Tribolium castaneum: one gene and its partner. The protein of the gene in region 2 purifies or fractionates together with the protein of the main gene of each other region. This does not show direct contact. Links are inferred from orthologs where the notes say so. Each region holds a gene or a part of one and is shown on either strand. Other genes may lie near its edges. The genes, in order: norpA and trp.

Region 1 (4,344 bases), about 3.6 Mb from region 2:
GTGCCGATAGCCGGCTTGGAGACCATCCAATGGCAAAATTCTCTGACCCAAAAGTCTGTTATTCTCGTCGTAAACCCCAAATCGTAGCACAGCCAAGTCCGGAAGAACCACTTTCCGGAAAAGAAACGGTTCTTCGTTATACACCGGATTCAAACCATTGGCCGGAACCATCCGAGTTCGGAACTCGCGTCGGATCGTATCGGTCGGCAAGCCGTACATATCGACCTCGACGTAGGTACCAACCTAAAAACACTAAATCAAACCTAGGATAATCCAACGAAAAGTCAACCTTTTTGTCGGACAAGAACTGCCCAGCGATCACCTGGACCGAACATTGGGCCGCAATAACGCCATCTACTGGACTTTCAGCGAACGGATCGAAAGTCCGGTCGGGACGTCGCATAAAATCCGGTTTTAATAAATAACCACAGTTGCCGTTGTACTCAAATTTGCCTTGATTGAGTTGCATGGGAAGATCGGAAGTTTGGAAATTTAAAGAGACCATTTGACAACCAGCATTCCAGAAAACCTGCGGCATATAGTTCGACGAGTTGGCCCGAGCGCCGCTCGGGTAAATGCGCGACATTTGGCGTTTGTTGTAATTGACGAACTCAATCGCCTGAGTCTTGAGCAAATTCAAGCCGACAGGTTCCGAAAAACTTGACATGTTGTAATGTATGTTTTTCTCTAAATGAATAAAATCAGAAAAAGTTGATAATTAAAATTGATAGTACCTTCCGCATAATCAAAACTAGTGAATTTGACAGGTTGGGCATAATTAACCATCGAACTCAACCACGGATGCACATTAGTAGTCGACCCCGTGTGTATTATAGGCGGCGCTGCGATGTCCCCGTCACCAGCCCCCCCATCGGGCGCCGGTGTCTAAATCATACTTTGCACGAGTTGCATACAGAATTTTCCCAACTTACTTCAGCCGAAATATCCGGTGGTATAGGCCGGTCTGCGGACGCACTCGCATCCTCTTTTTCCTCATCTTCGATAACGAACTCCCCCTGTCTGAACAACTCCAGTTCTTGTTTCTCCACCTCTGGTTTGAGTCTCTTATTCTTGATTAAAATTTTACGCTTGAGGCATGAAGGTGGCGGTAACGGGAGGCCTGGTTCAAGGGGATAGTCAGGAAGTGGTTCTTTGAGGAGCAAATCGCCCAAGATTTCGTCGCAATATTTCGCGAGCTTGTACTGTTGGCTTTTGCAGCAGTGGTTCTCAAAGGAGAGGATTACGGGATAGTCGGATGTTACGAAAGCGGTGTCTCGGATTGCGTAGATTACGTCTTTGAAGAGGATGTCCGTGCACATGGCGCGTCCGTGGGTTATGATCGGCTCCTCGTCTTCGCCTCGGCCTAAATATTTTGCTATTGCCCATTTTTTTGGACACGCTGTATTACTTACCGTCCCAACAGTCGAGTTCGACGCAGCGACACCCCGCCAGCAATACTTGTCTGTACATTTCAACGGAAGACCTACCGCCAAACTGGCGGCCACTTAAATACGTATTGTGACTAGAATTTATATAGTAGGCGCATAGAGGCTGGTCCATATCCATGTAGATGTCCAAACGGTCCAAAAACACCGGAGCGTTTTCGTCCGACATTAAATACCTAATCAGACCGTCTTTTGTCAACCTATTTGCTGCCTTCGCCTCCTCGTCTTGTTCATAAGTGGCAATTATTTCGGACGCTCGTTTCGCGTCATAATGTGGGTACAAAATTTCGTTCAAACGCGGGTCTCGCTGTTTCTCGTTGAGGAAATTAATAAACTGCTCGAGATTCATATAGTCGGCTTTGCCTTGCGTACTAGAATTTACAAAATTGGAATATAGTTTCCGTGATAGGAGCGCATTACATGCTGCGGAAGAGCTCCTCGATGTCGTTCCGAGGGCAGATTTTGTGATACAAAGTGTAGAATTTCTCGAAGGTGAATTGCTCGGGCTCCATGACTGCGTTTTTGCCGTTCGGTAGATCCAAGTCGGCCAAACACTGATAAACCAACTTTTCTGTACTTTTGCCGGAGGCGAAAGTACGCGCTACGACTTTGACGGGCACTTTACCCTTGGCATCGGTCAGAAAACCGAGTCGCATCCAACTGGAAAAAATCACTTGTGCCAATTGTTTCAAAAAAATTGTATGCAAGCAACACTAGCTACGTCCCCAAGAAACTATGTACAAAAACTCACTGTTTCATCAAGGCAGTTCTCGGGCAAACGTTAACAACTTTATTGTTGTGAGTAATGCTCCTCAAACCTTGCTGCCAGATCTGCAGAAGCCATGCAAAAAACAAATTTATAAACAATCAAGTGTCGCCGCAACGAAAACATGCAGAAGTTAGTGCAGACATTCACATGCGCAAGTTTTTCCCTAAATGCGGAAACTTACTGTTTTTTCAAACACGTCATCGGACAGAAGTTATTGGCTTTCACGTTATGTGTTATCTTTCGCAAACCGTCCAACCAAACCTAACATTGCAAAATTTTAATTTCGAAAAATCAACGTGGCCAAATTTATTGATTTTTTTACATTAAGGGAGGAGGCAAAACCCACCTTTGCCGTCTCGGCATTGGGGCACACGATGTGCTGGTAATTAATGTTGATATAGTCGGTCCCGCTACAGATGGTCAGCGATCTCTTCTCAAGATCGGGCCCGTGTCGGCTTTCGAGCTGGCTGAACAGTTTGAGGTCTTTGGGCAGCCCACCGGCCCTCACATCGCTCACTTGGCACAGTTCGATGACGTCGCCCTCCTAAACAGCCCCATGAACCCGCCTCCACACAAACCCGCCACCTCACCTTTCCCTCGCTCTTCCAATAGATGAAAAATCCGTACTCGTCCACCCGGAAAAGGGCTTTCCATTCGATTTCGTTGGGCTCCTCCGACCACCTGTCCACGACGCAGCCCGTGAGCAGGGGCTCCGGCACGGGGACATGCCAATCGAACTCGAATTTTTTCGTCATGATCGGCTAGATGCAAGACAATTAGACGATATTCATGGCTAGTTCAACGAAAAGTAAAAACGTTAAGCGGCGAGCACGAAAAACTCATCTTTGTGCAAGGGACATGTTTATTTATTTGACATTTACGTCAAATGTTACGTCAGACGTCAATAAGCGAGCGCGGCAATTCAGAAATAAAATTAACTAGACGCCCTCTGGTGATGACTTTTGAACTCTGTCGAAAACAGTAAAAATTCCACATTTAACTGACATTTAATGAATTGTTCAACAATTTTGCGTGTATAGTGTTAATTACTTACAATAGAAAGAATCACTTTAAAAGTACGTGGTGGTAAATACTAGCGTTGACTTTGGTTCTGTAGTTTTTCGCGGTATAAAGTGTTTATTGTTGGAACTTGAAAGTGGATAAAAAGTGAAAAATATTTAAATTTTGATTACAAAGTGTTATCAAACAGTTGTCTAATTAAAGATTATAAGTAATGGATCACAGTGAACACATAGTTTGGCTTAAGAAACCAATAAATTAGTGAAGTGTGTGTATTTTAGGTTAGAATTTTCCACTGAAAAAATCATGAAATACTGCGGTAAATCTACAAAACTACAATAAAGATTAACAACTGCTGATACATTTAAACGTAAATTATGCCAAAAGGTAGGCTTTTCAATGTCTTTGTAGTAATTTTCCAATAAAGAAAGTGAACCAAAAAGTCATTCGTTATTCGTGTTTTCCTCGTCATCTCTCATTTGTCAACATAAATTTCTTTGCATCAAAGATACAATAATCATTTCGCATAGACAATGCAATAATTGTGAAGCCCCAAAATTCGTACAACGCTCAAAATATCCGAATAAACATTTTCCCGCCATTTATGGTTACTGTTTTCGACCTAGCTCAGTGGCGCCCCCAACGGTAATTTTACTTCCGAATTTTGTATTTGGCAGGAGGTAGCGGAACAGTGGCTTACGCAGGGGGCCAAAATTGCCAGAATTTGACAAAACCGCAGAATAAGCAGTTTCAATAAGGAAACTGGAGTCTCTTTTTGCAATAATAGAAATAAATGAAAAATTAATGTTCTAATTATATAATAATATAATATATATTATATATATTATTTTTGTAAAAATAAAAAGTCTTACCGCCCTGCCTCGCAGAACCGTCTGTCATTACTGTAACCAAGCCGATAAAACGTTTTCTTGACTCGTCTATTATTATATCCTCCGTAATTTAATTAGCAATAAATCAATAATAGCGCACTTTAATCCTTTTGAGACGCTTTATTAACCGAATTACATAACAAGAAACACATTACACGTTCATATTTGGTTCCAAAATAATTTATTTTGTTTTATTAAGTCGCTTTGTGCCCAATTTGGG
Region 2 (4,563 bases):
TTGGAACAAACCGCATAGCTCTACGACTTTTAGTTTTTGAGTTATGAATTTTTTTATTGAATAAAATTTTTCATTATAGAAATTGCCTATTTTAATTTTTTGCAAAAAATTTTAAAATGTCAGATCTCGTTGAAAGTTGGTTTTATACAGAAAATGAGCCGCTGAATTCAATGGAACAAACCGCATTGCTCTTTTAGTTTTTGAGTTATGAATTTTTTTATTCTAAAACTTTTAGTCTAAGTTTTATAGTTCCGGAGTTATTGCATGATGAATGAATAAAAATTGTCTATCTACTTACCGGTTCAGCAAACGCCAGATTCCTCAATTCCCACGACAATTGAAACGCTGTTAAAATCGGATCACTTGACGAAAGTGCAATCAAAGACGGACTTGCCAGAGCTTTGTACTCGTTTAGTCTCGCTAACGAGTGTCGTAAATAATCCTCTTCAGATTCTTTGATACATTCATCACATCCACATCTACGATTTTTAGTTATTTTTATTTATTTTTTTATTTATGGTCGTACTTGATATCATGTGGCATCGGAATAGTCGCTCCTCTGTCTAACAAAATTTTCAAAATTTCGTAATTATTTCGATGGGCGGCCAAAGTCAAGGGAGTGATATCAGGTGTGAACATGGCAGTGTTGATGTCAACTTTTTGCCAACTCTGCAAAATATTTGCTCAAATGAAGCAAAATAAAGTTAACAAAAACTTACATAAGGCTCCCCATCTTTGTGGATCAACTCCTCGTGTTCCAACAAAAGCTCAACAGCTTCCACAAACTCTACGTGAATAGCATGCAGAAGAGCATCTCTAGTTTCCACTCCCATGATCACCAGGAGTTCCACCATTTCGAGATGCTCTTGGTCGATGGCAATCGATAAAGCACCACGTCCTAGACTATCCACACAATTAATATCAAACGATTTTTTCCGGTGGGCTTTTTGCAACATTCTGGAAGAAATAATCGTGTTACTTATTAAATTGTGTTGGTGGTTATTATTTATTCCATTACCGGCGAACATTTGCCATGTCTCCACGTTCAATGGCCAATAAATATTTTTTTTCTTCAATTGAAAGTGACTTGGGCAAGTTGGGCATGATTAGGGTCTTGCGTGTGACTTTAGCCTCAACATCAACCTATCACAAGACAATTAATTAGGGGAAAATTTAATGAAACTTACCGAATCCCCCATTTTGCACAAATTTAGGCGATCACATTACTCTCTAGAAAAATAGGGCGAGTAATAAGTTAGTAATAATCTTGTAAGCGCTTATAACTATGGTCTAATCACATTATTGTCTTTATTAAATTAGATTACACCAAACGAGTGCATTACACTAACCGACTTTTTGGTAAAATTACTATTGGTTTAAATGCAATAAAGCAACTAAGAAAATTGATTGCGCCAATAAGGAATTTTTGGTGATTTTTTCCAACTCAAAACTCCTATTATATAACGCTCCTGGGAGTAATCCTCTTGGCTTTGTCCCGCATTTTAATTCAATTAATAGTGAGGGTCAATACAAACTTGAAAGTATTCTCGATGCGACAAGTGATTGAAAATGTTTGGATCTGATTGTAATAATGAAAGGGCGTTAAGTCAGGTGGAAAAATCGTTTTTGCTTCATGCCGAAAGGGGTGATTGTGCTACAGTTCGCAGGTAATTTTTTATAGCATATTTCATTGTCAGTTGTTTTGAGTGGGTAAAATTGCACTTTAACAAGGGTAGATAAAATATTATTTTAACACTAATTTTTTTCTATTAAATTACTTATTGAAAAAATGTAGTATACATGACAATAAAGATGGTTGATGGTCTTTTAATTAATTATAATTTCAGTTTTCCATTTTTTTTGTTTTTTCTTTGCTGTTTTAGAGTTTTTTAATTTTGTTTTTGTATTCCATTTTCTAAGTTTTTTGCTTTTAAAAATAAACAAGAAATTAATTGCGAAAAAAATAATAGGATAATTGAGGAATATGGTGGTGGTGAGGGCGATCAAGAGTTTGATATAAACTGCATCGATGCTCTAAATCGCTCAGCGTTCGTTATAGCAATTGAGAATGGAAATATCGAGCTGGTGAAGCTTCTCCTTGAGTCGCAGATTGACGTTAAAGTAATCGCAAGTAATAATAAGTTTTATTTTTAGTGCTGCGAAATTTTAATTGCAGGATGGATTGCTTCATGCAATAAATGAGGAATTTGTGGAAGCGGTTGAAATGCTTTTAGATTGGGAGGAGAGGACGCATCAAGTTGGCGATTTGTACAGTTGGGAAAAAGTCGAACGGTGTTCGGCCACTTTTACACCTGATATTACACCTCTGGTCTTAGCCGGGCATAAAAATAATTACGAGATTATTAAGCTGTTGCTGGATAGAGGAGCCACTCTTCCATTGCCTCACGATGTCAAGTAATTAAATTGAAAAATGAAAAATTACACTATTTAGGTCGAAATTTCTGATTTTTTGACTAGAAAAATGTGCTTAATTTCGACTTAATTTGGTGTTTTTTTTGGTAATTCTCTTAGTCTGTTTTGCGCAAAATGAGAGATTGTACAAGAACAAGTTTAAACCGAGGAGCCGTTTTCAAGTGCATAAAACTTTGCTTTAGTGATTTAAAAAAACTGCAACCGCAATGCTCTACGACTTTTAGTTTTTTTTTTATGAATTTTTTTAGTGAAAAACTTTGATCGCTTCTGTAGCCAGAACCGTTGCCCGGAGGGGCTCCGGGTTTGGTCGAAAAAATAAATAAAATTAAGCGCTATCAGATGGTTTTTTGCTCGTTGCTCTAAGTCTTACAGTTTCCGAGAAAAACGCAAAAAATGTTTCTATTTTCACTTTTTTTCAATTTTCAACCGCCAATTACGGCCAAACTATTAGAGTTATCGAAAAACGGAAAAATCGTGGACAACCGGAATAAAAAACTCTACAAAATGGCATAGGACTCAAGGCGATATCTCGCAAAAAAATTCAATTTTCATACGCCGATTACGGCCAAACTAAAAGAACTAGGAGAAAACGCTTTTTTCCATCAGAAAGAGCACATCAAAATCTATAAGATAGAATAGGTTTTATTTGACTTTGAGACATTTTTAAAATTGACCGATTTTAAGGGGGGGGTGTTAACTTTTTTTTAATTTTTTTATTTTCTCATTTACGGTTAAACTATTTTAAAATGTGGAACTATTTTGATCCATATCTATGCAAAATGATCCGGGGAATCGATTGGCATCGAGAAAATTACCAAATTCCGAATAGTTTTTTAGTTATGAATTTTTTAAAATTTCACCAATTTTTGCATTTGTCAGCAATTTGCTCGAAAACTATAAGTCAGAGAACATTAATCTTTTTTGAAAAAAATAGATAATCTAAAGAGCTTTCCAACGATAATACACTTCATGGGATTATCTCTGATAGTTCCGGAGCTATTGCTCGACACATGTTCCGGGTACCCAAAATCGACAAAAATTACGACGAAAATTGAAAAAATCAAACATAAAAAAATCGAATATTTCACTTTTTGTGGACTTTTAACAACTCTAGAGGGATGTAAAAGCATATAAAAGTCCAAAAAACTATAATAGGACAAGTTTAAAAAAAAATAATTTTTCCACCTTTTTGAAGGTAAGTAAGTGTATTAAGCAAATTTTAAGCAAAATAATTCAAAATTTTAAATCTCGTGAAAAGTTAGTATAATACAGAAAATGAGCCGCTGAATTCACTGGAACAAACCGTTTTGCTCTACGGCTTTTAGTTTTTGATTTATGAATTTTTTTGTTGAATTGTTTTTGTTTTCTTCTCAACTTTTTAAAATTTGTACAATTAATTCGGCCTCTCGGTTCAAACGTTCGAAAATTTTTTTTAATTTTTTTCCTGATTAATTTTTAAGATGTGGTTGTGACGAATGCGTTTGCTCAAACCAAAGTGACTCTTTACGACATTCTCAAGCTCGGATCAACTCCTACAAAGCTCTAACATCCCCTTCACTCATTTCCCTCTCATCCACTGACCCTCTATTTACTGCTTTCGAACTTTCGGGCGACTTGAGACGTCTCAGTCGACTAGAAACCGAATTTCGAGCCGAATATAACGTAAGTTATTTTTTTTCTAAACCCAACTTCACCTCACTCACTTGTAGAACATGCGAACTGTTGTGGAAAATTTCGCAGCTTTGCTCCTAGACCATGTAAAAACCTCAGAAGAATTAATGATTCTGTTGAACTACGACGAAAAAAATCCTTCATGGGTTTTGGGCGAACAACAAACTTTGGGACGCTTAAAACTCGCCATAAAATTTAAACAGAAAAAATTCGTGGCACATCCCAATGTCCAACAAATCTTAGGCACAATCTGGTACCAAACAGTAGATATTTGAAAATTTGAAACGTTTTTACTACAGGGTGATTCAGAAAATACAGGTGTTCCAGATCAGTATAACCAAAAATATTTTCTTAAAATACGTGCTGGGCCACCCTGTATTTAAATTAATAAAAAATTACGTTTTTTGTCACCATTTTGAATCACCCTGTTTAATAACAGGTACGAGGGACTCCCCGGAT

The links.
Region 1: the proteins of trp (region 2) and norpA purify together in Drosophila melanogaster (affinity purification with western blotting; 3 studies listed by BioGRID). This does not show direct contact. The link is inferred for Tribolium castaneum from reciprocal best matches to the Drosophila melanogaster genes trp and norpA.

The regions. Positions count from the first base shown.
Region 1 is NC_087402.1:4,188,029-4,192,372, reverse strand, and holds the start of norpA (1-phosphatidylinositol 4,5-bisphosphate phosphodiesterase), read right to left. Parts: upstream 3,117-4,344; 5' UTR 2,970-3,116; coding exon 2,805-2,969; intron 2,759-2,804; coding exon 2,561-2,758; intron 2,476-2,560; coding exon of another isoform or gene 2,396-2,475; intron 2,277-2,395; coding exon 2,197-2,276; intron 2,106-2,196; coding exon 1,866-2,105; intron 1,817-1,865; coding exon 1,413-1,816; intron 1,364-1,412; coding exon 933-1,363; intron 886-932; coding exon 735-885; intron 688-734; coding exon 290-687; intron 244-289; coding exon 1-243. Other genes in the region: uncharacterized protein LOC103312731, read right to left, coding at 4,306-4,344. UniProt on the Drosophila melanogaster protein: The production of the second messenger molecules diacylglycerol (DAG) and inositol 1,4,5-trisphosphate (IP3) is mediated by activated phosphatidylinositol-specific phospholipase C enzymes. Essential component of the phototransduction pathway.
Region 2 is NC_087402.1:542,951-547,513, reverse strand, and holds the start of trp (transient receptor potential protein), read left to right. Parts: upstream 1-1,504; 5' UTR 1,505-1,569; coding exon 1,570-1,667; intron 1,668-1,970; coding exon 1,971-2,121; intron 2,122-2,176; coding exon 2,177-2,415; intron 2,416-3,893; coding exon 3,894-4,095; intron 4,096-4,142; coding exon 4,143-4,357; intron 4,358-4,543; coding exon 4,544-4,563. Other genes in the region: trpl (transient-receptor-potential-like protein), read right to left, coding at 299-479, 527-669, 720-957, 1,019-1,143, 1,188-1,199. UniProt on the Drosophila melanogaster protein: A light-sensitive calcium channel that is required for inositide-mediated Ca(2+) entry in the retina during phospholipase C (PLC)-mediated phototransduction.